Canis lupus familiaris: one gene and its partners. The protein of the gene in region 1 purifies or fractionates together with the protein of each later gene. This does not show direct contact. Links are inferred from orthologs where the notes say so. Each region holds a gene or a part of one and is shown in the gene's direction. Other genes may lie near its edges. The genes, in order: DDX39B, MYO1B, RBM8A, DBN1, LIMA1, SRRT and WTAP.

The links.
Region 2: the proteins of DDX39B (region 1) and MYO1B purify together in Homo sapiens (affinity purification with mass spectrometry, with the first as the bait; 3 studies listed by BioGRID). This does not show direct contact. The link is inferred for Canis lupus familiaris from reciprocal best matches to the Homo sapiens genes DDX39B and MYO1B.
Region 3: the proteins of DDX39B (region 1) and RBM8A purify together in Homo sapiens (co-immunoprecipitation; 4 studies listed by BioGRID and IntAct, with this or other methods). This does not show direct contact. The link is inferred for Canis lupus familiaris from reciprocal best matches to the Homo sapiens genes DDX39B and RBM8A.
Region 4: the proteins of DDX39B (region 1) and DBN1 purify together in Homo sapiens (affinity purification with mass spectrometry, with the first as the bait; 3 studies listed by BioGRID). This does not show direct contact. The link is inferred for Canis lupus familiaris from reciprocal best matches to the Homo sapiens genes DDX39B and DBN1.
Region 5: the proteins of DDX39B (region 1) and LIMA1 purify together in Homo sapiens (affinity purification with mass spectrometry, with the first as the bait; 3 studies listed by BioGRID). This does not show direct contact. The link is inferred for Canis lupus familiaris from reciprocal best matches to the Homo sapiens genes DDX39B and LIMA1.
Region 6: the proteins of DDX39B (region 1) and SRRT purify together in Homo sapiens (affinity purification with mass spectrometry; 3 studies listed by BioGRID and IntAct, with this or other methods). This does not show direct contact. The link is inferred for Canis lupus familiaris from reciprocal best matches to the Homo sapiens genes DDX39B and SRRT.
Region 7: the proteins of DDX39B (region 1) and WTAP purify together in Homo sapiens (affinity purification with mass spectrometry; 3 studies listed by BioGRID and IntAct, with this or other methods). This does not show direct contact. The link is inferred for Canis lupus familiaris from reciprocal best matches to the Homo sapiens genes DDX39B and WTAP.

The regions. Positions count from the first base shown.
Region 1 is NC_049233.1:1,171,573-1,175,277, reverse strand, and holds part of DDX39B (spliceosome RNA helicase DDX39B), read left to right. Parts: intron 1-2,196; coding exon 2,197-2,328; intron 2,329-3,093; coding exon 3,094-3,203; intron 3,204-3,302; coding exon 3,303-3,447; intron 3,448-3,584; coding exon 3,585-3,705. UniProt on the Homo sapiens protein: Involved in nuclear export of spliced and unspliced mRNA. Component of the TREX complex which is thought to couple mRNA transcription, processing and nuclear export, and specifically associates with spliced mRNA and not with unspliced pre-mRNA.
Region 2 is NC_049258.1:1,781,536-1,785,240, forward strand, and holds part of MYO1B (unconventional myosin-Ib), read left to right. Parts: coding exon 1-148; intron 149-1,511; coding exon 1,512-1,738; intron 1,739-3,705. UniProt on the Homo sapiens protein: Motor protein that may participate in process critical to neuronal development and function such as cell migration, neurite outgrowth and vesicular transport.
Region 3 is NC_049238.1:59,380,326-59,384,494, reverse strand, and holds the start of RBM8A (RNA-binding protein 8A), read left to right. Parts: upstream 1-1,308; 5' UTR 1,309-1,370; coding exon 1,371-1,437; intron 1,438-1,712; coding exon 1,713-1,772; intron 1,773-1,895; coding exon 1,896-1,973; intron 1,974-2,114; coding exon 2,115-2,251; intron 2,252-2,592; coding exon 2,593-2,729; intron 2,730-2,828; coding exon 2,829-2,874; 3' UTR 2,875-4,169.
Region 4 is NC_049225.1:36,784,455-36,788,730, forward strand, and holds the start of DBN1 (drebrin), read left to right. Parts: upstream 1-1,395; 5' UTR 1,396-1,523; coding exon 1,524-1,609; intron 1,610-2,323; exon of another isoform or gene 2,324-2,413; intron 2,414-4,276. UniProt on the Homo sapiens protein: Actin cytoskeleton-organizing protein that plays a role in the formation of cell projections. Required for actin polymerization at immunological synapses (IS) and for the recruitment of the chemokine receptor CXCR4 to IS.
Region 5 is NC_049248.1:42,123,868-42,127,572, reverse strand, and holds part of LIMA1 (LIM domain and actin-binding protein 1), read left to right. Parts: intron 1-1,716; coding exon 1,717-2,181; intron 2,182-3,705. UniProt on the Homo sapiens protein: Actin-binding protein involved in actin cytoskeleton regulation and dynamics. Increases the number and size of actin stress fibers and inhibits membrane ruffling. Inhibits actin filament depolymerization.
Region 6 is NC_049227.1:8,831,644-8,835,348, reverse strand, and holds part of SRRT (serrate RNA effector molecule homolog), read left to right. Parts: intron 1-942; coding exon 943-1,112; intron 1,113-1,244; coding exon 1,245-1,429; intron 1,430-1,614; coding exon 1,615-1,713; intron 1,714-1,797; coding exon 1,798-1,915; intron 1,916-2,099; coding exon 2,100-2,257; intron 2,258-2,939; coding exon 2,940-3,001; intron 3,002-3,103; coding exon 3,104-3,182; intron 3,183-3,439; coding exon 3,440-3,628; intron 3,629-3,705. UniProt on the Homo sapiens protein: Acts as a mediator between the cap-binding complex (CBC) and the primary microRNAs (miRNAs) processing machinery during cell proliferation.
Region 7 is NC_049222.1:49,497,230-49,500,934, forward strand, and holds part of WTAP (pre-mRNA-splicing regulator WTAP), read left to right. Parts: intron 1-1,214; exon of another isoform or gene 1,215-1,331; intron 1,332-3,267; coding exon 3,268-3,446; coding exon of another isoform or gene 3,447-3,450; exon of another isoform or gene 3,451-3,665; coding exon of another isoform or gene 3,666-3,705. UniProt on the Homo sapiens protein: Associated component of the WMM complex, a complex that mediates N6-methyladenosine (m6A) methylation of RNAs, a modification that plays a role in the efficiency of mRNA splicing and RNA processing.

The DNA.
Region 1 (3,705 bases):
GGGGCACGTGCCCATCTGGGAGTGATGACTCCTTGAAGAGACACACAGAGGCAGAGACAGCTAGTGTTAGGGTCTGCGCGGGTGCCAGGGAAACTCCGGAAGACTTGGTCGGGTTAACTTGAGAGCGGGTAGTGTTCGACCTTTTTTTTTTTTTTTTTTTCATCACAGCATTTTTGAACCTCTTCTTCCTTTTTGGGGGAGGGCAGGATTTTCTGCCCTACTACCCACCCATCGTCTCCTACATACCCCTTTACAGCCACGCACCCTCAAGGTGGCATGGAGCAGACAGTTGGAGCCTTCTGCTCCCCAAAACTCAACCCCCCGGTGGCAGGAGAGCAAGAGAGGGACAGACAGATGGCAGGGCATGTCCAAAAGAAGAGCAAACAGCACAAATGAATCCGCTCCCTCCCCACCTCCAGGGGTGGGGGCCTTTGGCACCTCAGTCCCCGATCCCTTACTCCTTCCGTCCATACCTCCTCGCACCCATCCGGAATCTCGGCTGATGTGAGCCGGCAGCGGAGAAGCACCATGGAACGGCGGGGGAAATGCAGACGGCACCCAGCGGTGGATGGCGGCAGCGGAGGCCGCGGGGAAACCTGACCAGGAAGCTGAGGACCAAACCAGCCTCTTTTTCTGTTCCCGGTTTTTTTCCTGAATCCAAGGCGTGCCGTGCTCCCTGTTTTTCCCCATATGTGTTGGGGGGAGGGGTGTCCTGAAACGGGGGGTAGTTTTTTTTCTTTTTTAAAACAATTTTTTAATACTCCAAGGAGAGGGATATGGGAAAAGTAATGTGAGGAGCTCCACTTGGATGTAACCAGGTGGGTGTTAGGGTTTGGCACTAGACGGGCCCTATTGTATAAACAGTGCAGTGTATTCTTTCTTATCCTGTACTGCTCCTTCCCGTGGGATGTCAGTTACCTTTAGTTATACTTGGGGCTAGATTTGAAGGAGGCCATGAAGCTTCATTTTGAAAAGCCTGCTTTTGCAAGCCTGCTTTCTGGGATTGGGCTTCTGGTTCTCTCCCGTGCCACTCATCCTTTCCTGAAACCTTGGGCCCTGGGTGTTCATGTTAATTATGTCCCCAGGTTAGTGAAGAGTGCTAGGAAACTTGGACTCAGGAGTTGAGTCTTGTGTCAGTTTGTTTTTTTTTTGCTATCTTCCTCCCCTTAAAGGGTTTTATGTGTGCGTGCGTGTGTGTATGTGTGTGTATATACATATATACATATATATGTGTGTGTATATATATATATATATACATATATATATTACAAGATGGTTGTATATCTGCTGCTCTGAATTTGTTTCTTAACACCATTTATTGGTACTGTCCATGTAACACTAGTTGATTTGACTCCTAGTTCAGAGACCAGTGCCATCTGAACTATTCCCTTGTGGTCTGAGGGCGAGTTATTACTCATCCTGAGTAACTTTTCATGGTATTTTTGACTATGTTCATTTTAGCATTCTGATCTTGACAGATAATCCACCCTCCTGATGTGGATCTGATTCTCTTAGTTGTTTGGTTTTTTCCTTAATATTTTATGTATTGATTTGAGAGAGAGCAAGCACAAGCAGGTGGAGGAGCAGAGGGAGAGGGAGAAGCAGATCCCCACTGAGGAGGGAGCCTGACTCGGAGCTTGATCCTAGGACCCTGAGATTATGACCTGAGCCGAAGGCAGACGCCTAACCGATTGAGCCACCCAGGTGCCCCCTGATTCTCTTAGTTGGGAGAATACTCAAATGAAGCAATCCCTGTCTTCCCCTCTATTTTTACAACCAATAGTGGTGGAATTCCTGACCTCGAGTCACCATGTCCACCAATTCCCAGGTGTTTGGATTACATTTTCCCTTTGGGGATCCTCTCCCATTGTTTTCTTTCCTCTGCTACCTCCTTTTGAGGTCATGGCATCTTGCCATTGGGTGGTCTCACTGCTCCTTTTCAAACTCCTTGCCAGGTTACCTTCCCGTGATACTTGGGCAATCTTAAAACAACTGCTAGGAAGGAAATTAGAGCTAACGTGGAAGAGACCACATTAAAATGAGGATATTTTTGGGGGTGTGGTGGGGTTTTCAGTCTTCTCTTTTCCCATCCCCCAATGGGGTGTTTTGGAGATCAAGTTCCTCCACCCCCCCAGGTTTAACCCCCCCACTCTGCCCTCCTCCCGTTCCCCCCCTACTCCCCCCTCCCTCCCCCAGCCAATGGAGATCTTCGTGGATGATGAGACGAAGCTGACGCTGCATGGGTTGCAGCAGTACTACGTGAAACTGAAGGACAACGAGAAGAACCGGAAGCTCTTTGACCTTCTCGATGTCCTTGAGTTCAATCAGGTCAGTTGTTCAAAGTCCAGTAGGGGGATGAGCACGTCTCCAACTGTAGCAGAAACCTGGTTAAGTACCTTTTTGTTGAGGATATGACATAGGTGATGTGAGCGAGAACAGTGGGGAAATTACCTTCAAATGAAATTCTTTTAAATGAGAATTTAAGTGCCTTTGGTGCTGAGTGTGAACAAGATGGGAGCTGCTGTTCTGTTCTTTGGCTGTCACAGCCAGGTATTGAGTAAAGAAAAATCTCAAAATCCTTGAGAGGATTTCATAAACTTGTAAAAGTTCCAAAATATCTTGGGTTTCTTGGGTTTTTAAAATTTGTTTTTTCTTGTACTGTTTACTGAGAAGAAATGTTCCATACTTTACCTGCTGTGGTTCGTTTGCACCAAAAACTTTCTAAAATTAAGGTAAATTGCATATGTTTGATGTTTTTGATGAGCAGAAACTACTCTCCACACTTTAAATTTTTTTTTTCCACACTTTAAATTTTTACCACTTTCATTTTTACCATTAGCTTCATCCTTGTCTCCCTAACATATCTGGTAGTTTTAGTTACTTTTCTCTGTATCTTCTCTTCAGCATGTCTGCTCAGGAAAAATCAGAACTGAGTGAGAAAGGCTAAGTTGTATTTAGAACAGAAGAGGAATATGTAATGGGGATTGGAGAAGTTTCAGGAAGAGTAAAAGAGTAGTTACTGAAAACTCTTCTCACACTTAATCTCTCACTTATCCCACATGGACCCATGTCCCCCAACTGTCACACACCCAGGTGGTGATCTTTGTGAAGTCTGTGCAGCGTTGCATTGCCCTCGCCCAGCTGCTGGTAGAGCAGAACTTCCCAGCCATTGCCATCCACCGAGGGATGCCCCAGGAGGAGAGGTAAGTCAGAAATGGAAAGATGTTTTGTGTCCTTGGGAAGGAAAAGAGACCGTTGAAGCGAAGGGACTCAGTATTTTTCTAATTTCCTTTCTCACGAAGGCTTTCTCGGTATCAGCAGTTTAAAGATTTTCAACGACGAATTCTTGTGGCTACCAACCTATTTGGCCGAGGCATGGACATTGAGCGGGTGAACATTGCCTTCAACTATGACATGCCTGAGGATTCTGACACTTACCTGCATCGGGTAAGCTCCACACCCACACGTGCATTCCAGTGTCCCCTCCCCCTGATTTTGTATCTTCATACCTGATAGCCTCTCCCTTCTTTTTGGATGTCTTCCTACTTCGGGATCTCCCAGGACTATCCTCTGTCTCCTTCCAGGTGGCCCGAGCAGGCCGGTTTGGCACCAAGGGCTTGGCCATCACATTTGTATCAGATGAAAATGATGCCAAGATCCTCAATGATGTGCAGGATCGCTTTGAAGTCAATATTAGTGAGCTGC
Region 2 (3,705 bases), on another chromosome or scaffold:
GGTCACCGACGAGACCTTCTTGGAGAAGCTCAACCAAGTGTGCGCCACCCACCAGCACTTCGAAAGCAGGATGAGCAAGAGCTCCAGGTTTCTCAACGACACGTCCCTGCCTCACAGCTGCTTCAGAATTCAGCACTATGCTGGCAAGGTATGGGGAGGAGGCTCCAGCACCCAGTGGGCCTGCAGTTGTTCCCGCGAGGAGCCCAGGCCTCAGAGGGGGCCTTCTGACCAGCGCCAGCTTGGGAAGATGAGTTGCCAAACTCGTAGAATCAGTAAATGTTCAATAGAAGTAGAATCTGGATCATGGGATGCCTGGGGGGCTCAGTGGTTGAGCGCCTGCCTTCGTCCCAGGGCGTGACCCCGGGGTCCCGGGATTGAGTCCCGCATCGGGCTCCCTGCTTGGAGCCTGCTTCTCCCCCTGCCTGTGTCTCTGCTTCTCTCTCTCTGTGTGTCTCTCATGAATAAATAAATAAAATCTTAAAAAAAAAAATCTGGATCATGTCAGTTGAACACAATCTTAACAGAGCTGAAAGGAAAGCCAGTGAACTTAATGAAAGAGCTCGAGTATATTTTAAAAATCGGTTGTATTGTTTCCAAGCTAGAAGTTATCCTATAAAAATAGATCTGTCAACATGAATAAAAGGTTTGCTAGTAAAAATTAGGTGTCACTAAAGACTGATAGTGAGGTCTGACAACCAGAGATCATTTAGCAAAAATAATGAATTCCTAGATTGAGATTTTGAAACAACAGTGGGAAAATAGCTACTTTTTTGAAAAAAAGTGCTTACTCCTTTACCTAATATTTGAGAGAATTAGTTTTATGCCATCTAAGATATATAATGTTAAAAACCAATTTTGACAGTAGCTTAATTTTTAGAGTCCTGAAAGAATATGGATGTTAATACCTCCTTCTACATGAGGTTGCAGGCTTCAAAGAGGAAAACATTTGTAATTATATATTTAGTAAAAATTAAGTATGTAGTATCCGATTTACTGTTAATTTTAAAAAGTTGGAACTTGGTACTTCATTTTTTGTTTGTTAGCTTGTGTTATTAAAAGATACTTTTCTGGTTAATTTCCCTGCACACTTAGGCTGTCTGAAAACACCAGGGTTTTTATCTCTGTTTTCTCCTGTCTATTTTCAAACAGACTAGAATTGGCACATGTGAACTAAAAAAAAAAAAAGAGGAGGAGGAAAAGTAAAACCTCAAAAATGTGCTCAAACACCAAAAAAGCCTAAAATCCTTTGAAAATGTTATGATAGCATTTTTGGAGTTTATTCTTGCAAATCCTGAAGCGTAATAGAATTTATTTTGAACTCTTCTGTGATTTAGACAGATGGAATTTAAACTTGGAGGCTAATTCGGTATTAGGAGTGTGACTAATGTGCCTGAGGGTTTTCGATGGAGAAAGAAGAGGCTGCATTATAGATAGTCTTGGAATATTTTTAACAGTTGTGTGACATCCTGGAGTGCAGTAATCAGCAGTTGAATTTCTTGTACTGCTCATAGGTGCTGTACCAGGTAGAAGGATTTGTTGACAAGAACAATGATCTTCTCTACCGAGACCTGTCCCAAGCCATGTGGAAGGCCAGCCACACCCTCATCAAGTCTTTGTTCCCTGAAGGGAACCCAGCCAAGATCAACCTGAAAAGGCCTCCTACAGCAGGCTCACAGTTCAAGGCGTCTGTGGCCACACTGATGAAAAACCTCCAGACCAAGAATCCGAACTACATTAGGTATCTCTGCACATGAAACTCTTTGACAGGTTCCTTAGGAAGGCACTTTCAAGGAAGATCATTTTCCTGTTTGCTTAAATCCGAATACCATCCCCCCAGAGGATAACTGAAGTTCTTGCCCTTCAAGTAATGTGGTATCTTGGGTTTGCTTAAAAATCACTCCAGTAACCCTTCTACTCCTTCAAGCAAAGACTTAAAAAGTGTGGGGTGGGGGGGGGGGGCAGAAAAAGCGTGGTAGGGGATAGGAATAGATACTTAATGAAATTGCATTGTTGGCACATAAGGTTTTTCACTTTTCACTTTTTATATCTTTTTTTGGTTTCATGACATTTTAGAAATGTAAGCTTTTTTTCTGGTAAAGGTTTTGCTTAAAACTCTTGTATTGGATTCACTTTGGATTCTTGTTACATTAACTTACAGCACAGCATTAAAGCAAGTTGGGCTTTAGTTACAAATTTGGTGTTCGAAAGTATGTCTTTCTTTCCTATGAGACTTATAGATTTGGAGATTTTGTTCCCAGAACAATCCTAAATTTTTCAAAGCAACAGAAAGAATTCCTTAAGGAGCATCTGGTCTTTTTCTTTTTCCTGTTTCCAGGACACCTTAGATCTCAAGATTCAGTGAAGGCCAATTAGGATTAGAGTTTTCAATGTGTGTATTCGGTGAGTTAGATAATGGGAGATGTGTGCCTAACAGGTCAGTTTTCGTGTAGCGTACACACGCCCACACATCCCTTCCCATAACTGTTTTTAAAAATGCAGTTGTGAGGAACCTGGAGTGAAGAACATTTTTGTGTTGGTTTGTATACCTAATATTTATATTAATAATAAGTAGAGTCAGAATCCCCTGGTTTGACATAATCAGGTTGAAACATATTGTAGGTAAAGATCCTAATTTCAAAAAACAGGAAACTTTCTGTGTCAGTTGCTTTTGTTATTCTCAACTAAGTGGATTTTTAAAAATTATTATTTAATAATAATTTACATGAAGTGATATACACAGATCCTAGGTGAATAGCTCAGTTATTTTTTTCACCATTGTATATACTTTGTCAACCACCACCTTGGTCAACATATGGAACATTCTATCACCCCAGAATGTTCCTTCATCCCCCTTTTATTTTTTTTATTTTTTATTTTTTGCCCCTTTTTTCCCCTTTCCCTTTTAGTGGCCTTAATGTACCTCTAAGAAGTCTTAATAAACTATAAGCTTGTGAATATATTATATTTTTTTCTAGAGTCTTTTATGTAGTTTCAGATTTCATATTAAGGTCAATATAGCTACCGTGTTGCTCTAGCACCATATATTGAAAAGAAAAAAATTACTTGATGCCTTTATTGAAAAATCAATCGAAAACCTATATAAGAGTCTAGGTCTAAACTCACTATTCTGTTCCACTGATCTGGTTGTCTATTTTTAAGCCAAAGGGTGGACATTATTTTTATAAATGTATAAGGAGAAGCATAAAAATATCAAAGTCAAACTAGGTAAGATTTAGTTGTTCACATATTATATAATGTGTGCAGAATTTATTTCGCATGTGTAGGTAGGCAGATACAACCATAAATGCTGAATAGTGTATTAAGATACGGAGATCACGTCCTTAAGATCCAGACATGACAATGACTTAAACAAGACTGTTATTTATTTCTTAGGTAACCACTGAGTATAAGGGCTTCAGGGCTGATCCAACATCTTCTATTTTGTGGCTCTGTGGTTCCCAGGGTGTTTCCCTCCTCCGTATTGTCAAAGATGGCTTCTCAGCCAGCCGTTAGCAGGAGAAGAACAAGGGGCGTGCAAGTCCTTTCCTTTTAGGGACACACTCATTAGTGTCCTATATTAGTTCTCCTGTGATCCTAGTGGCCAGACTTTTGATCACATGGCCACACCTACTTGCCAAGGAGGCTGTGAAATGTAGTCTTTCTTAGGGCAGCAACATGCTCTGCTAAAAAGGAGGGATTTACAGG
Region 3 (4,169 bases), on another chromosome or scaffold:
TCAAATGGAAGCCTTCTTGCTCCCAGTCCTATTATAAACTTCCTAAGCACTTAGTGATAGCAATTGTCACTATCATAATGTAATTATATAAAGTAATTGTTGATAATGTAATTATTTTTCCTCTACTGCCAGCACCTTCTCTAATACTAGGTACACACATTATAACTGTTCGATTAAAAAATAATATGAAGGGGATCCCTGGGTGGCGCAGCGGTTTGGCGCCTGCCTTTGGCCCAGGGCGCGATCCTGGAGACCCGGGATCGAGTCCCACGTCGGGCTCCCAGTGCATGGAGCCTGCTTCTCCCTCTGCCTGTGTCTCTGTCTCTCTCTCTCTGTGTGACTATCATAAATAATTAAAAATAAATAAAAAATTTAAAAAAATAATATGAAAACCTGCAGTCCACTATTGCTGAAGGCCTACATCAGGATTCCGAACTTTGCGGGCAATATGGGTCTTGAAACACGAAATACCTACACCATTCCCAAAGAAGCCGGAGTCCCCATTTTGTTGAAAGTCCCCATTTTGTTGAAAGCCATTAATTTTTTTTTTTCTTTTAAATTCCTGGAGGTGGTGGGAAGAGTTTGAGAGTTTATCTTTAAAAAAAAAGCGGGGGGGGGGAGGGGTAGGATCCCTGGGTGGCTCAGCGATTTGGCGCCTGCCTTTGGTCCTGGGATCGAGACTCGCGTCGGGCTCCAGGCACGGAGCCTGCTTCTCCCTCCTCCTGTGTCTCTGCCCCTCTCTCTATGTCTATCATAAAATAAATAAATAAATCTTAAAAAAAAAAAAAAGGCAGCCGATAGCCGTCTCAGCAATCCTAATTCACAAGATTAGCTTCCTTAAGAGAAATTCGCCGCTGCAGTACGAGCCAGACTCGGCTTTTTGAGCTAGCATTGCTGAATGAACTATTTTAAAAATGTTTCCATCACAGACCCAGCTAGCTGCTCCTCAAAACAGGTTACGGGTCTAGAAGTTTTGAGAGAGAAAAAAAATTCAACTTCCATTTCCTATGGAGTCCAAGGAGACAGAAAACAATCCTCTAATAGAGAAACTGGGCTGTGCTTCGCTGACTACAGTATTTCTCCTTGGTTGCCCTAATTAATAGGAAGCCGCTGCCTGCACCTACCCACTAGCTTGTCCCTTAGAGCACCACTCCATTCAGCTCGCCACCTGCTCAAGATGGCTACAGGAGCACTTCCGACATCTTCCGGAACTAGGCCCGCCTTCTTTTGCGTATTTTCACCGCGCCGGGGGCGGGACTTAGATTTAGCTTCTGATTGGTCAGCTTGACTAGTGACCTTTCCCCTCCGCGACAGTTTCCCGAGGTGCCTAGTGCCTGAGCGGCACCGACGAGAGTAAGAAGGCAGGCAAGATGGCGGACGTGCTGGACCTTCATGAGGCTGGGGGCGAGGATTTTGCCATGGATGAAGATGGGGACGGTGAGGACAGTGGAGGCAGCTGCGGGAAGCCGGGAAGGTGCGAAAGAAGGGAGTAATAGGAAAATAATTGCCCTTCCCGGCAGGGCGGCTGGGAGTAGAACTGAGTTTCGATTGGATTAGAGACTGCGCCCCCTTCGGGAGGAATGGGGGCGGGACCGGGAGGGAAATGGGACTGGAGGTGGTGGGGCTGCTTTCAGATAATGCCTCCGTAAAGAGACTATTGTTGTAAATACCTGTTATTTTTGTTATTCATTCTTTCACTTCTGGGGATCCAGAGAGCATCCACAAATTGAAAGAAAAGGCAAAGAAACGGAAGGGCCGCGGCTTTGGCTCCGGTGAGTGTTTGTGGGGAAAATGGTGTAGAATGGCGACAGCTACGAGTTTTGGAGTCCCCATTCACACTCATGGGGAACAGTGGTAGAAGAGATTTCTGGTGATCTCTTGTATGTTCCATATAGAAGAAGGGTCTCGAGCGCGGATGCGTGAGGATTATGACAGTGTGGAGCAGGATGGAGATGAACCCGGACCGCAACGCTGTAAGTGAGATGGACACTAGTGTATTATGGACCTATGAAATAAAACCCAGTAGGAGTGGGGTCGGAGATACCTTAATCCACTCTTGTGATCTTGCTTGAAGTTTTTCTTTTGTGCACAAACCTCCTTCCCTTCCCCAACAGCTGTTGAAGGCTGGATTCTCTTTGTCACTGGAGTCCATGAGGAAGCCACCGAAGAAGACATCCATGACAAATTTGCAGAATATGGGGAGATAAAAAATATCCACCTCAACCTGGACAGGCGTACAGGATACTTGAAGGTATCCTACTGTTGTTGCCTCTCTTCCCTCACAACCTTTAGACAGCTTTGGTAGTTCTCCCATGTTTTCTCTGATTGGCCAAAGAGCAAAGTTGAAATAAATGAGATTGAAAATTGATTTTGAAAAAAAAAAAAAAAAAAAAAAAGAAAATTGATTTTGTCAGACACAGCAAAGAGATGGAAACATATTTTGAATATATACACAGTAAGGATATATGATGTACATCTGTTGTATAAAGTCTATAGATATTTCTATTTGAGTATGAGTTTAGATCTGAGGAAGAAGATGCTCAGTAGTGTTTGGAATATGAGGGTTTTGATCTGTCTTTTCACTTATCCCAGGGATATACTTTAGTTGAGTATGAAACATACAAGGAAGCCCAGGCTGCTATGGAGGGACTCAATGGCCAGGATTTGATGGGACAGCCGATCAGTGTGGACTGGTGTTTTGTTCGGGGTCCGCCAAAGGGCAAGAGGAGGTAAAGTGGAGAGGGCAAACTATCTTGGTGAAGGGAACATGAGCAGAACAGAATAAGGACATTGTATTATGTTCCTGATGGACCCTTCCTTTTCCCTAGAGGTGGCCGAAGACGCAGCAGGAGTCCAGACAGGAGGCGGCGCTGACAGGTCCTCTGTTGTCCAGATGTTCTCTCCAGAGATTCTCTTTGACCATGCAGCCTTGGAGAAATAGGGCTGAGGTGGAACTCACTGTTTATATTTAATCTCTTATCCTACTTAGTGGGGTTTTTTTTTTTGAATTATGAATAAATGTCCCATTTTTTGTTTTGTACATTTAAAATTACTTTCCTTTTCTAACATTGCAAGCTCTGAAGCATTATTTACAGTAAGGTAGTATGGGTCACTATGAGGATACTTCTAAGGACTCAATTCTGTGTGAATTTCTACATTAGATATCTCAAGTCTCAGAGTCAAAGTATTTCTTTTTCTTAGAAGCTAAGAGAGCAGGGGTAGAAGTGAGGTGTTATAAAAGCTTAGTTACTTTGTTCCTGTATACTCTGTCTGAGCAAATGGATGTTATAGGAATGTCTCTTGTTTCTCCTGTCCTTTCTGTTGCCACATTTGTTTGTACTTCCAGCTGTCTAAGGGTTTGCATTTCCTGTCAGGGCATTCTCTCAGAATCTTTTTTCCTTAGAAGAGTCTATACTGAGTTCTTGGTGCCTTCTTTGACAGCCAAGGGTAAAGGCCCCATAGAAGAGAGGATACAGAGGAGCATTGAGAAGGCCGAAAAGGAAAAGGATGTGGCTGAGGCTGAGGCTGGGGGGGGACTTCATTTAGCATGGTGGGAGAGAACCAGTACCACAGGCCCAGTAGGTAATAAGGTGTCCGGCAGAAGACGAAGGTCAGCAAGACCAGCAGGGCCAGTCGCAGGGCCTGCAGACGTACACAGGAGCGGTTGTCTAAGGAGCGGCGGAGGGCAAATTCACTGGCAGGGGCTGGGATTTTAGAAAACATACTCAAATTCAGAATCACTCAGTTTCTGAATTGAGTGTAGGGTGAACAGATGAATAGGCAGAGATGATGAGCTGGAGCTCTCCTGATACAGGGAAGAGGATATGACAAATAGGTGGTAATGCTGCAAATCCTCTTCTTCCCCAACTGGGAATATATGCTCTCCCCCCCGCCTCAGGGATTATGACAGACATGCTGGAGAAGAGGTTTTGATTGAGGTGTGGTGTTCTATGAAGCTACTAAGTCTACTTGAAGACTTGATGGTGTCTAAGACTAAAGCAGAATACTAATCACCTTTCTCCTTAATCCTTGCCCAGCTAACTCAGCTTCAGAGGGTGGCTAGAGGCTGGTTAGAATTGAAGGCATTTAGAAAATACTGGCAGCATCAGGTACTGGGGTATGGTTATGATACCATTTTTGGTTTGATAGCTGTCAGGCTAGAAGCAGTA
Region 4 (4,276 bases), on another chromosome or scaffold:
AGGTGCAGAGTACCCGAGGGAGGTGTCTGTGAAATTTAAGGGGTTTGAAGAGGTTATTCCTACTTGAAAGCACTGGGACTCACTGCTAATCAATGCACACTGCTCTCCTTCTCCTCTTGGTGTAACTGATTACCCATCTCAGAACTCAGAGGCCCAACTGGGGGCCACCTCCTTTTCCATCTCCCAGACTGGACCAAGTAAAGCTTGCTTGATTCTGTCACCTCCCCCAAGAAGATGGGGGTGGGAGGCTGTGTAGGAGGTGGAAAAGGCTTCTTCAAGCTGGGGAGAGTTTCAGGGTCCCACCTCAGCAAGGAGTGGCGATGTTCCATGAGGCCCTGGCAGTGGTGCCCACTCCCTTGTAGGGGACTTCTGTACTTGGAACCCTGCCCTGGGAGTCTGGGGTTAGATGCTGCTTCTGGAACTGTACTTGGGATTCCTCTGTGAGGCCTGAGGCTTGGGAGAGAAGGCAAAGGAATTGGAGGCTGGACCCATCAGAGACAGCCCTTGGGGGCAGCCAGGAACTGAGAGAGTGCTCTGGAGAGAGGTGGGTCAGGGATGGGAAAGAAGTTGGGAATCCTGGAGTACTGAGCTAAGTTGGGGCTGAGCACAATCAAGGAGGCAGGGATGGAGGGGTGTGGTTGGGAACTGGGATCCCAACGGGAATAAGGTAGGCTGGACTGACGAGGGTGCTGCTAGCGAAGGTGGTTATTGTGAATGTGTGGAGGTGCGCACTGAGGGCGTGGTTGGGAAGTAGGCTGGGAAAGAAATGGGTTGGATGTGGGGTAGGGACACAGATGGCAGTGAATAGTGATGGGGGTGGCCTAGGAGTGGACCTTTCAGAGGTGGGTATGGGCTGCATACGGGCCAAGGTGGCTGGTCCAGTTGGGCTGGGGTTGAGGGTTGGAATGGAGATGGGTTTAACCTGGTTTGGGATGGCAGGGGGATGGGGCTAAGGCTGGGACGGAGAGAAATTAAGCACGGGGTAGAGCTGTGCCAACCGGAGCGAAGAGGATTTGGGCCTGGGACTAGGAGCTGGAAAGGAGAGGGGGGAAGCCGGGCCTGGGTGGTGGCCGCAGACGGGAACCCCGCGAGGTGGTGCCGCTGCTGGGTATGGGGCTGGGGGAAAGGGTGAGCGCCCACGCTGCGGACACCGTGCGCGAGGCTGGGGACGCGGGCGAGACGCGGCCGGGGTGCGGGAGCGCAGAGCGCGGGCGGGCGCGGGGCGCGGGGCGCGGGGCGCGGGGCTGGGGGCGCCCGGGGCAGGCCGGGAAGGGGGGCGGCCTCCCCCTGGGCCCGCCGGGCGGCGCTAGGACCGGGCGCGCGGAGGGAGCGAGCCGGGCGGAGCCTGCGCCCCCCGCCCCCCGCCGGCCGCTCCCCTCCCCCGGCCGCGGCTCGCTGGGCTCGCGGCGCTGCAGAGGCTTCGCGGCGGCGGCGGCGGCGGCTCCCTCTTTCCTCGCCTCCTGCTCTGGCCGTCGGTCCGTGCTCCGCGCGTCCGTCCGCTCGGCCTCAGTCCGGCCAGCAGCATGGCCGGCGTCAGCTTCAGCGGCCACCGCCTGGAGCTGCTGGCGGCGTACGAGGAGGTGATCCGGGAGGAGAGCGCGGCCGACTGGTGAGCCCCCGCCCCGCCCCCGCCCGCGGCCCCTTTGTCCCCGCCGCCGCCGCCGCCGCCTTTGTTTCCGCCCGGCTCCGCCGCCCCGCAGCCGCGAGGGGAGGGGGCCCCGCAATGGTGCAGCGGCCCGGGGGGCTCGGGAGGGGCTGCCTCGGCGCGCGCCGGGGGAGGGGCCGGGCCGGGCGGGCGCTGCCGGCCCCGGGCGCCCGCAGGCGGCCCCGGCCTCGCGCCGCGGCGGTGGCCGGACGCTCCGGGGAGGCGCGGGGTCCAGATGCGGGGCCCGGGGCCGCTCGCCCTGCGGGAGCCCATCCCCCGCCCTCGCCCTGCCGCCCCGGGCCCCGGGGACAGGTGTGCACGGGGCGGCCAAGGGCACCTTCGCCACCTTCGGGCGGGAGCGGGCCGGGCGGGGACGAGGCGGGGAACCAGCCAGCGGAGCCAGCGCAGCCCGCCCGGCCCGGCCCGGCCCGGCCGCAGCACAAAGGAGAGCTAGGGCGGGGGAGGGGCGGGGCGGGCCGGGGCCGGGGCCGGGGCCGGGGCCGGGGCGCCCCGCCCACCGGGGGCCTCTGGGAGCCGGGGTGCGAGGGGGCCGTGTTCCTCGCCACCTAGCCGCCGCCGAGCGACTCCTGTTCCCCTCAGGGGTCGCGGAGAAGGCCGAGCTGAGACCTCCTCTCCCCGATCCGGAGGGGACTGCGGGGACTAGGCAGTGGGGCCGGGAGCTGCCTGGCCAGGTGGCCAGCTGGGGTCCCTGAGAGGAGGCTCCCAGGCACACAAGTGTGGAGGGAGCGCCCAAACAGGAAGGAGAGAGTGAGTACATCCATTGAGCCCCGAAGCCTCAGGCTCAGTGGTCAGCTTCCTCGTGGCAGATAAGCTGAGCTACCTTCTCTCCCTTTCCTGGCTGTTGTCTTGCCCTGAGCTTGAGACGGGATGGACCACCTGCTCTCTCTGGCTGGAGACCCCTGGGTGGCAGGAAAGCAAAGGGGTCCCACACTGCCCCATTCAGGAATCCCCTTCCTCCAAAATACTCTCTCCTGGGACAGGTGCCCATTCTGTTCTCTAGGCCTGGTCTTTTCCTAGCAGGAAGGAAACTGAGGCACAGAGTGAGGCTAGGTCTGAGGGCCCTCACGTGGGCTGGCCTCACCCTCATCCTAGGAGGGCAGTTAGGTAGGGACACTGACCCGGGGGCTGGAGGAGGGGCAAGATGGCCAGGCGTCCATGCCATGGTACTGCAGCACTGGCGGGCAGCCAGGCCTGGAGGGATGGATGAGGGAGAAAGCCCTCAAGTCCTGCAGGTCAGTCACAGGAGAGGCCAGCACAGGCTGAGCCGGCAGGAGGCCCACCCATTGTCCCAGCCCTGCCCCATGGGGGCTGAGATCATGGGAGGAGTTCAGGGCAAGTGGCCCGCTTGGCCTGGTGGAGGAACTAGGCTTAGGATATGGGCCTTGCCTGCAGAGGCACAGCCCTGCCTTAGAACACCCTACTCGTCCTCTGGTCTGCTGGTTATTATATACCACCACCCCGTTTCCCTCTAACCTCCCAAAAGCAAGGTTCTGGCAGTCCAGCACAGGGGTACACAACCGCTGCTGGACCACATTCTGTTTAGCAGAGGCCTGGGCTCCCACCACTCAGCAGCATCCATGTGGCCAAAGCAAGTTATTCATCATTGGCATGCGTCACCCCCATCTGGGTTGTGTGTGGGACACACATGTACACATGCACCCTCGTACATACAGACATTTGCTAACTCCCAAGGGCCTAGATAGCGTTTTGTAAAGAGGATGTGAAGAACACATCCTGCAGAGTAGGGCATGAGTGCCCCCAGTCCCAGTACAGAACCAGGAGTATAGTGGAGTCTCAGGACTTGGGGGCAGACCCTGTACTCAGAGGCCAGAGGAGTGGATCTTGGGTACAATTGCTGTCTTGGTCAAGAGGCATGGTACTGCCTTCACTTACCTCTGAGGGGGATATTGCTCCTATGTGGCAGAGCCTTTGAAACGGACTGTTGCCCTGGATAGGACACTACTCACTGTGTTAACTACACACAAGTGTCTGCTCCTCTCTGGTCCTCTTGAAAAGAGAAGGAGGGGATGGGACTCCACCATATCTGGGACCCCCAAGGCACCTTCCAGCTCCAGCATCCTGAGAGTGGAATTGGACTGAGGGCTCCTCCATCTGCCTTTGGTCCCCACCTCAACCGAACATGGGATCTCCCTGGAGTGGCACATCCCAGGCCCACCTCACCCTAGTCCAGTGTCTCTGGCCTCGGTGGCTTCTCAGAGTTTGTGTCAATATCACAGATACCTACTGGTTCTGCCCTGTGCTGGACCCGGGACCCAGTGAGTGATGCATGTTGATTGAATTGGATGTCTCCGTTTCACACAGCTTACAGTTAGAGGCGTTGTCTGTTTCCAGGGGTTGAAGCTGAAGAGACATGTAGATCCCTGGGACCCCATCCTGATACCTGTGGTTTCAACAGCTTCCACCCTTTCAGGCCTGGCTGTCTCTGATGTGTTTGAGAAGTACAGGTCTAATGAGATCTAGGATAGGCTTAGAGGCTTCTTGCCATCCCTTATGGGGTATGGTAAGTGCTCTAAGGAGGTGCAACTTAGGACAGGGCTTCCTGGGAAGCTGGCATTGGGTCCCTGAAGGATTTCAGTCAGGGCTGGCCCA
Region 5 (3,705 bases), on another chromosome or scaffold:
AGATGCCCATAATCCATGATCCAGAGGTAACCTATTAACATCCTGATGTCTTTTCTTCCAGAGTACTTTTCTACGTTTATATTTATAAATATGCAGTTGTATTATAAAATGGGATTATGTGATCTTAAAGTTTGCTTTCTCCACTCAAAAGTATCTTACAAGCATTTTTCCATGTCAATAAATATACTTGGATCACATGATATACATGTTATCACATGATAACAGAGAAAAGTAGCGTCCAGTAGCGTCCAGTTACCAAGGCAAAATGCCACTTAGGGCTCCTATGTAGGCAGGGCTAGCGCAGGGCAGGTGAAGTTGGAGACCCAGATGATTCATCCACTGTGTGGCAGGAGGTAGCATCCAGCAAACATGCTGCCAGTGATAAGGCAACACCAGTGTCCAGAGCAGTTTGCTTTTCTAACAAGAAAACTTTTTTGTGCTTCTTGTATCTCTGATCCTTCTATGCTTACACCAATGAGTTATCTTTTCAGTAAAGATTTAAACGCTAAAATTAAGCGGTAGTTCTCTGTACGTTTTTTCCAACGTTGGTGCTATTTGATGAAGTAGCTCATACAGTGTATTCAGGAGAGTAATAGAGTGAGAGACTTAATTCCCAATATAGCTGCTAATCCCGTTTAATTCCCGGAAGTCTTTCAGTCCTAGGTGGTTTGTCCTTTCTTTCTTAGTTGAAAGACGTGAGTCACAGACCACAGGAACGGAGGGTACGAAGGTATTGGAGTTCGTGGTTTGTTGGGAGGTGGTGCTGCTCAGTTTATTTATAGGAATGCTTTCAGAGTATGGGACACTGAATTTAGTTCATCAAGCATGTTTCCTCTGTTATTGTGGCAGTTTCCAGGTTGTTTGCAATCTTATATGTATAAATTAATTCCATTTTGACCCAGGTGAAAGTGAACTCCCTTAGATGTGTCAATGTGTGTCCTTCAGTCAAGAAGGTGGGTGATGGTGTTTTCATATGAAGCCTGGATATTTTTCTACCAGAGGATCTGTGAAATAGCAAATTTTCTGATAACTGAGAATTTATACATGGATAAACGTGTAGAGAAGAGCAGGGGAAAAGAGGATTAGATTCTTATGTAAAAATAAAAGTTGACTGACTTTTCATATGCATGTAGATTATGTCAGATATGATGAAATATCATTGATGCAAATACACGTAAAAATCTGGTGAGTTCTTTAAAGTTCTACAAATAGTTTCAATCTTTGATGATACTGCCCACAAGTAGGGTATTGCATAGTTTCAGCTATACTTCATCTTTGTCATATGTAAAAGAAAAAAAAAAAACAGGATTCGCCATATAATTTTGTGATTTGTGTTAATGCACATTTGCAGTGTTTCAAGTACCTAATATTTTGCTTTCTCTTTCTTGTTTTCCTTATTAATCTTTGGATTAAAAAAAATCCCTTGTCTCCCATGTAACTATCATTAGATCTGGGCTCTCCTTTCTTCTCATTTTGTCCTTATAAGGCTATCCTGTTTTATCACTTCCTGCTTCAGCTCCTGACTTTTTCTCTCTTCCCCTCTCCCTCTCCCGGGGTGGATGCTTTCTCCATGTGGCAGGGCTGTAACCATTCACAGCTGTCTGAAACGCCAGTGGACCAGGAGCAGCTTAGAGTTTTAACTTTCATTTTGCAAAGAACATGTTTGAATGTTTCAACAGGCAAGTTATAACTGGCACTTACCTCTTGTTCTTCTAGAACACTGAAAATCTCCCCCAGCACTGCAGGAGGGGGATCCTGACGGTGTTAAAGAAGAAGTGGGAGAACCCAGCACTGGGAACAGAGCCTCACCCAGACTCCCTGCGAAACGGCAGCACTGAGGTCAGACCCGGAGGCGACCATCCTCCGGGTGAAGTGGCAAGAAGCTCTGCCTCTGAGGCCGAAGCTGACCAGGAAGAAAGAGCCCACCCCAGACCTAGGCACGGATCACCTCCTGAAGCCCTAATTCAGTGTCCGTATCCCCGCACTGAGGGCAGTGAGCATCTTAAAGACCCCTCGAAAGAAAGTAAAAAAATGGAAACGTGTGTAGGAGAACCCAGGCATGAAGTAGGAAAACCTGAAATCAGTGAAAACACAGAAGGCGCAAACAAAATAGAGAAATACAATGTTCCGCTGAACAGGCTTAAGATGATGTTTGAGAAAGGTGAACCGACTCAAACCAAGGTAAGGACTGGGCCGGTTTCAAACCTTGAGAAAGCCAATTCAAGTAACGAAACAAAGCTCTTTTTCTAATCTAGACAGTTTGAGTGGTGGTCAGTATGTCTTTTGATTCAAACTTCAAGGAATTAACTAACAGTCTCGAGTTATTTACATGGAGGCTAAGATCTGCGGGTCTCTGACCCAGTTTCCCGTGAAATCAAGCACATACTGGGATTCAGGTTAGTATCTAGAAATGAAGGCAGTTTGGTGCCGATTGGATTTTGTGTTTTTGTACGCTTGCCCTTTTAATTTATCTTCCTGTGCCTTTTGTCATTTGTAGCTTTGGGGGTGGAATTACTGCTGAATCTTTCTCTGCTTGGACACAGCTGCAGGCTGAGTGTTAAGGCCAGAGTTTAACATTAAGACTGAGGCTTACTTGTCTCTATGCTAGCTGACTCCTTCTCTTCTCAACTTCCTCATCTGTGCCTTCCAACAAATGTTTTCTATCAGCTAAAATCCTCTCCCAGGCAAAATCAATGAGGATAGCCAGACTAGCTGTAGCCTTCAGGAGTTTTGACTTGCAAATGCACAGGGTTGCATTTTCCTACAACTGCTAATGAAATTTGATCCTTCGTGTGGATTGCAGACCGGGTACCCAGAGGGAATTACTTAACTAGAAAATGAGTTACATATGCTGGTGACTTATAACACAGTCCAGGGATGGCTGAACTGGTAAATTTTTCCAGTTTTCTCATACTTTCCTGCATATCTGGCTTTGTACATGGGGATGGTTTGTTATAACAGTCATTATAATGAAATAAACAGATCTGACAGGAAGCAAAGCCATCATTTTCTCTCGATTCCATCTAGATGGGAAAGCTGAAATTTTTTAAGCTAAATATTTGGCCCAAATCCCTACATGTGTGAAGTAATGGTATAAGACCTTCTTTCTGAGACAAAAATTCGATAACTCGTCTTATAATCATCGGTTAAGTCTGACGTGATTTAGTTAATCTCCTCCCATCACTTGCGGTGCCTATTGCTTTCCTGCCTAGAAAAAAGTTCTTGGGTGTTTAAAGGATCATCTATTTCGAGGATGTAGTAAGAATTTTTAAAGGTCTGCAAGCCTAGAACTCTTTCCTGTGCCTGAGTTTTAGCTCTATTTTAACACTGAAACCAGTTGGCAAGAGATGTAACCACAAAGCAGTTTTATGACTTTTCTTAAACTCTCATCCCTCTCAATTTTTAGCCCTCTGGGCCTGCCAATTCCTTTCTCCTTTAGAGTCTTAATAAAACAAAAAAATTTTTTAGTTTTCTTTTTCTTTTTTCTTTTTTTTTTTTTAATTTAAATAGGAAGAATTTTAAGTGGAAGGGGGAAAATGTCAGAAATCCTAAATAGAGAGGAAGGGGTTTTGTTGTGACTCAAAGCACCATTGTAAGCCTCCTCCTCAGAGACCCTGTTAGGGGCAGGACGGCTGATGTCATGCCAGCACACACAATGTCGATTCAGTGCAAAAGCCTAGTGCATGTCGAAACTGGCCTAAGGTA
Region 6 (3,705 bases), on another chromosome or scaffold:
TCTTCTTTCTCTGTGTCTTGGTCTCGTTCTCTCATGTACCTTTCATTCTTTCTTGGTCCCTGTACTTGCTCTTTGCCTAACACTTGTTTCCTCCTTTTTTTTTTTTTTTTTCCCCCATTTTCTTTGGCCTTTAGTTTTTCCCTTTGTTTTCAATTTCTGGGACTTTGTCACACTTTCCCTTTCTGTTTTTCTCATACTCTTCATTTTTTTTGTTTTTACCCCCTCAAGGTCCTATTTTAAATGTTTCCTTTCCATGCTCCACCCTAATCCTGCACCTCTTTTCTCTCTCTCTCTCTCTCTCTCCCTCTCTCTCTCTTTCTCTCTCTCTCTCCCTGTGGGCAGTACCTGAGGTTATAAGGGCACTTCAGTTTCTCCCTTTGATCTTTCCCTGTCCCTTCACCATCTGCTTTTCTTCCCAAGGGGGGAGAAAACTTCTGCCTTTTTTGGCTTTTCCTATCAGTGCATTTCAGGTTTCCCTCTGTCTTCCACCTAGGGATGGAGGGAGTTGGTGGGAGCAGTCCTGTTAATGACTAGCTCTTGGGTTGGCAAGGAGAGGGAGGTTCTCTGGGATCTACTATTTCCTTAGCCTTCCTCTTGGAAGCTTTGGGAAACTACAGTTTTTTAAGTTAGTGTTTCCCAGAGACACAGGGCAATCATTCTGCCTCTCTAACCCTGGCCTTCCCCTTTAGTCATGGCTTTTCCCAAATCCAGAGCTCTTAGTTCCTGGCTCTCCCACAAATCTTCTCAGAGCATAACCTCTGGTTCCTTTTGGGGGTATTGGGTGGTTCTAGTGTACCCTTCTCCCCAGTCTTTCTGCTTTCATGGTTTTTTGTGGGTGTGAGAGGATGGGGGCTAAGCCCTGACTTGCCTGGGCCCCTCCCCATGTCCTGGCCCTGGCATCCAGTGACTATTTTGTCTCTTCCCTCCCCACTTCCTTCCCAGGTTTCGGTCTAAGTACCACCCAGATGAGGTGGGGAAGCGTCGGCAGGAGGCCCGGGGGGCCCTGCAAAACCGACTGAGGGTATTCCTGTCCCTTATGGAGAGTGGCTGGTTTGATAATCTTCTCCTGGACATAGACAAAGCTGATGCCATCGTCAAGATGCTGGATGCAGGTATGTGGATTTGGGAGGGGAAGAGGGTGTCTGGTGACCCAAGATCTTGGTTTGGAAATAGAAGTCAGTTGATAAGCAAGAGGCTGAAGGCCAGGACCCTAGGATTGTGACCTCTGCTCCCTTTGTTGGTAGCTGTGATTAAGATGGAAGGAGGGACAGAGAATGATCTGCGCATCCTGGAGCAGGAGGAGGAGGAGGAGCAGGCAGGAAAGCCTGGAGAGCCCAGTAAGAAAGAGGAAGGCCGGGCTGGACCAGGCCTGGGGGATGGAGAGCGCAAGGCCAATGATAAGGATGACAAGAAAGAAGACGGCAAACAGGTCAGAGTGCTGGGCTCATTGGGTGCTGCCTCTGAGTTCCTAGGGAGGAGGAAGGTGCAACTTCAGTGGTCAGGGGGCCTGGTGGGTTGTGTGCTGGGTCCAGGAGAGGTGGAGGGCTAGGGAGGGGGCCCTCTGATAAAGGTTGAAGGGGAGATGGACATCCCCGGGATTGTCTGTACCTGCAGGCTGAAAATGACAGTTCTAATGATGACAAAACTAAGAAATCTGAGGGTGATGGGGACAAGGAAGAGAAGAAAGATGACTCTGAGAAAGATGCCAAAAAGGTAGGGTATCTCTTGCCAGGCGGTCATTGTCAGATCTGGGGTCCTGGTTATCTGACTCCCCTCCTCTTGCTGTGGCTCTCACAGACTAGCAAGAAGCGGAACAGGAAGCACAGTGGTGATGACAGCTTTGATGAAGGCAGCGTGTCAGAGTCCGAGTCAGAGTCAGAGAGTGGCCAAGCTGAGGAAGAGAAGGAGGAGTCTGGTAGGTTTTATCTTCTTTTAGTTCATTCTCTTCCTATTGAATAGGGGTAGGGGAGGTGGGAGTGGGCAAAATTGATAAGGGCCGGCCTTTGGGACATGGGGGTGGGGGGGGAGTTGCACCACTTCTTTCTTTCCCTCCAAAATCAACAATAAATATTCACCAACTTCCAACACTTCCTGCATAGAAGAGGCACTAAAAGAAAAGGAGAAGCCCAAAGAAGAAGACAGAGAGAAGCCTAAGGACACTCCTGGGTTGGAATGTAAACCTCGGCCCCTCCATAAGACTTGCTCCCTCTTTATGCGCAACATCGCACCCAACATCTCTCGAGCCGAGATCATTTCTGTGAGTGGGAAAAAGTGGTACTGGCTGCAGGAATGGCATATTTGGTAGCAGGGAAGGGGAGCTGGTGAGGCGGGGGTAAGATAATATGGTTCTGCTTCTAACATATACCCATTTCTCTAACAGGGAAGCCTCTTCTCGTGGGCCCTTTGTGGGCTGGCCCTCGATTATACCATTTGCTTCTAAGTGCTTTTACTCTTTAAAAATTTATTCATGAGAGACAGGCAGAAGATAGAGGGAGAAGCAGGCTTCCTGCAGGGAGCCAGATGTGGGACTTGATCCCAGAACCCCGGGATCACACCCTGAGCTGAAGGCAGATGCCCAACTGCAGAGTCACACAGGCGTCCCTTAAGTGCTTTTATGATTATTATTTTTTTAAAGATTTTATTTATTCATGAGAAAGAGAGAGAGGCAGAGACACAGGCAGAGCGAGAAGCAGGCTCCCCACAAGGAGGCAAATATGGGACTCAGTCCCGGATCCTGGGATCACACGCTGAGCCAAAGGCAGGTGCTCAACTGCTGAGCCACCCAGGCATCCCAAGTGCTTTTATTATTAAGCCCTTTATTGGTTTTTCCTTACTTGAAAGATTCACAGGCATTTCTCAGGGTTCTTAGGACACAGGGATTGGAAGAAGTGAGAAACGCTGAATTACTCATTGGGGTTTCTGTTCCTCTGTTTTTCCAGCTTTGTAAAAGATACCCAGGCTTCATGCGTGTGGCACTGTCAGAGCCCCAGCCTGAGAGGAGGTGAGGAATGGAGATGAGAGTGACCCTGTATACCTTGGAAATAGGTACAGGGGGAGGCTAATGGCCAGTATCCCAGGGTTATGCTGACCGTTTCTTCTGTAGGTTTTTCCGCCGTGGCTGGGTCACCTTTGACCGCAGTGTTAACATCAAAGAGATCTGTTGGAACTTGCAGAATATCCGAGTAAGTGCTGGGACTGGGTTCTCTGTAATGTACGTCACCCGATTCTTATTTGATTCATTTGTTGTGCTCCCACCCATCTGTTCAGTCTGCTCACATTAACTGTGTACTGGTGTCTGGCCTAGGTGCTGTCCCTGATAAGACCCTCCTGGTCCATGTTCTTGGGGAGCTCATGTTCTAGTCACTGGTCTTGTCACTAGGGCTAGTCCCTTGAGCTGCTGCTTCTCGGGCACATTTGGTGAGCTCTGTGTTCTCTCTAGCTCCGGGAGTGTGAGCTGAGCCCTGGTGTGAACAGAGACCTGACCCGTCGAGTCCGCAACATCAATGGCATCACCCAGCACAAGCAGATAGTGCGCAACGACATCAAACTGGCCGCCAAGCTGATCCACACGCTGGATGACAGGACCCAGCTCTGGGCCTCTGAGCCTGGGACACCTCCTCTGCCAACAGTCAGTGACTCCCATGGAACTTTTTAAAAAGCAGCCAATACCATATCGTCTATGATAGGCACCTCTGGTCTTGTCAA
Region 7 (3,705 bases), on another chromosome or scaffold:
ATCTGAACTTAAACATTTTTTTTTAAAATATAAAGTAATCTCTATATCCAACATGGGGTTCAAATTCACAATCCCAATGTGTGTGTGTGTGTGTGTGTGTGTGTGTATATATATATTTTTTTTTTTTTAAGATTTTATTTATCCATTTATGAGAGGCACACACAGAGAGAGGCAGAGACACAGGCAGAGGGAGAAGCAGGCTCCATGCAGAGAGCCCGATGTGGGACTTGATCCTGGGACTCCAGGATCATGCCCTGGGCCAAAGGCGGACGCCAAACTGCTGAGCCACCCAGGAATCCCTATATATTTTTTTTCTTAAAGATTTTATTTATTTGTTCATGAGACACAGAGAGAGGTCAGAGACACAGGCAGAGGGAGAAACAGGCTCCATGCAGGGAGCCCGACATGGTACTCGATCCCGGGGCTCCAGGATCACGCCCTGGGCCAAAGGCAGGCGCTAAACCGCTGAGCCACCCAGGGATCCCTAACAACCCTGATATTGAATTGCTTGCTCTTCTCATTGAGCCAGCCAGATGCCCTGAAAATCTGAAATCTTCTTGAATTCTTTTGTGTAATCTCCATTGATTTGATAACATTGTTTATTAAATCTAATGTAGAAGGCAATATTCTGGTCATTGGAGACTCTTCTATCGGGTGCAGTCCTATTCCTAATTGTTTTCTCACCAAAACATTTTTAAGGCTCAATCACAGTACTGTTATTTCTTAAAATTTCTTTTCTTAATAATCCCACACCTTCTCTTTCTGTAATTTCAACTCTTGACCACCCCAGCCTTTGGTTATTTTATTTGGACACATGGTTCCAAGAAGTCTTTCCAGTAGTTTGAATATAATTTTCTTTTAATTATAACACCCACCCCATCCCTTCAGAAAATTTTTCTCCTTAGATTTTCATATTTAATGGAGTGGGCACTATGTCTCTAAAGTACCCATTCTCAAAACTCTTTAATTCTTTTTTCCTTTTTCTGATATTAAGGATTCTAGATTGTACCTAGTTTTAGGTTTGTACTTAAATGGCACTCTGTAAGATGTTTGTCACATGCAAAGGATGACTCTTATCTTCAAAGTGCTGTTAGTAGAGTGTGAATGGACGGTGCCAACAGTAATATCTTACTATACCATTATGTCTTGAATTTTTTCTTCGTGCGTCCTACCATTGCCATTGCTATCCTATTTCATGTACTTTTTTTTTTTTTTTTAAACAGTGCTTAGAAGCCATGCGGTAGGTGGCAGTGCCATAACCGTATGTCTGTCATCAGGACTTGAGGGCCTCTTCCATCCTTGATGAGGGGAGCGCTCCTTTCATATAACACATAATTGTACTTTTTACACTTACCTGGACAATATATATATACTGTTGACTCATTTCTATTTTATATATACACTGGTAGTTTTGATCCATATCATGCCTGATCAGAGACTTTGGTGTGATGCTTTATCACCCTTTTGTCTTTGTGTCCCAGGTTTCAAAGGCTGTTTCAACTAAAACCTAGCCACTTCCAGTCATATTTTTTTTTCAAAGATTTTATTTATTTGATAGAGAAAGAGCATACACAGAGGGAGAAAGAGAAGCAGACTTCTCTGCTGACCAAGGAGCCTGACCCTGGGCTCCATCCCAGGACCCTAGGATCATGACCTGAACCGAAGGCAGATGCTTAACCAACTGAGCCACCCAGGCACCCCTCCAGTCTTTTTCTTTTTCTTTTTTTTTTTTTTCTTTTTTTGCAGCTTTCCCCTGCATAGGTCAGCTGAACAACTCATTTTCAGTTACAGAGTAAGGTTTTGCAGAAAGTGCAGCAAGAGCAACAATACAAAGAAAGTGCAAGATTATATGTGCAGATGAGAGCAGTTTACTTTGTAAACCTAAATAGTAACTATGTCGCTGTTGGAAAGGCATGTTTTCTTTAGGGATCACAGGATGTGGTATATACTATATGACATGCTTTATCCTTGTTCAGTTATTCTAGCAACTGGTCTTATATTGAATAAACAGTTATACTTTTTTGTTTAAAATGAATTACTTTAAAAAATCTCCTTAAACTAAATAAATTACTTCTGTTTGCTCGGTGAAATAGTAAATGTATTGTCAATCCAGATATTTACATTTTTTACTAAATTTATGATACAAATGAGCAGTTGGTTGTTAACTTTAGTCCTATTTAAGCTGTAGTGTGCAGCAGGATTTTGAATCAAATCTACTTTGGGTGTGAAGAAAGTAATGCATTTAATTCTAATAAACTGTATTTCATATTTTAGAAATGTATTTTTAGTGTGCTAGTAAATAGTACAACTGAAGTCGAAATTGAAGGTTTCATATGTAAGTAGAGGGGTTCTGGTGTGGTGGAAAAAGCCCTAGACTGGGAGTCAGGAGGCTTATTAAGAGCTAGATTCTAGTGTCAGTTTTGGCAGTGAGCCAACTGTATCTTTGGATAGTTAGCTTATTTAATTTCAAAAATAAGGAGTTTGGATGTGGTCAGTCACCTTCTACCTATACAATTTTGTCATTCAAATCTACTCAAGGTAGAAATATATTTTTTGGCTTAAGGTGCTATTTATGAAGCTGTAATGCCAACTCATGTAAATATAAGCACTATATATTTTTAAATTTGGAAATACAGATAAGTAATTTAAGTTATAATCTTGTACTTGGTTTATTTTTAGTAGACTTATATAGAGAATAATTTCCATAGATACAAATTGGAAAGTGTGAACCACTGTACTTTTTTTTTTTAAGATTTATTTATTTGAAAAAAAAGATTTATTTATTTGAGAGAGCGTGAGTACACAGTGGGGTGGGGCAGAGGAAGAGAGAAACTTCCCGTGGGCTCATTTTATGACCCTGAGATCATTCTTAGCCGAAACCAAGAGTCAGATGCTTAACCAACTGCGCCACCCAGGTTCCCCTCACTATACTCTTATGTAATATTTGACACATGGCTTTTTTCTAGTGGGTGTCAAAATTCTTAGTAAATATAGCACTGATTTTTTTTTTTTTTTTAAGTATCATTTTGGTTGCAAAGTAGGATGTAGCCTTTTTAAGGATTCCAGATATGGAAATGCAATCAAAGCTTTAATTCCTACATGGATTACCTTAAATAGTTGTTTATAATTTGTACTTTTTCTAGAGGATGTTAAGGTCAAAGGGGGAAGGACAAGTTGATAAATTCTATGAACAAAAGGGACTTTATCCCATATTCCTATGACTGTTTTCTTCGATTTGGTAGTAATTGTTTGTTTTGCTTTGTACAGACTCAAATCCAGTACCTCAAGCAAGTCCAGCAGCCTAGCGTTGCCCAACTGAGATCAACAATGGTAGACCCAGCGATCAACTTGTTTTTCCTAAAAATGAAAGGTGAACTGGAACAGACTAAAGACAAACTGGAACAAGCCCAAAATGAACTGAGTGCCTGGAAGTTTACGCCTGATAGGTAAACAAATCATACTCCCCAGTCAAGACTTCCCTGACAGTCCCACTACGAGAAAGCTGTGGTGGGACAGCCAAGTACTCGTTTCCACACCAAGACTCAGACTTTTTGAGCCAAAAAAAGCCACATTCTTATACTATCCAGCTTGTAATGGTTAATGTAAAACTTACCAGATGAACCTTGTGTTTCAGCTTTTTTTTCTTCCCCCTCCCCTTGCTTCAGAGGCCTGATGGCGTCGGACTATTCCGAAGAAGTGGCCACC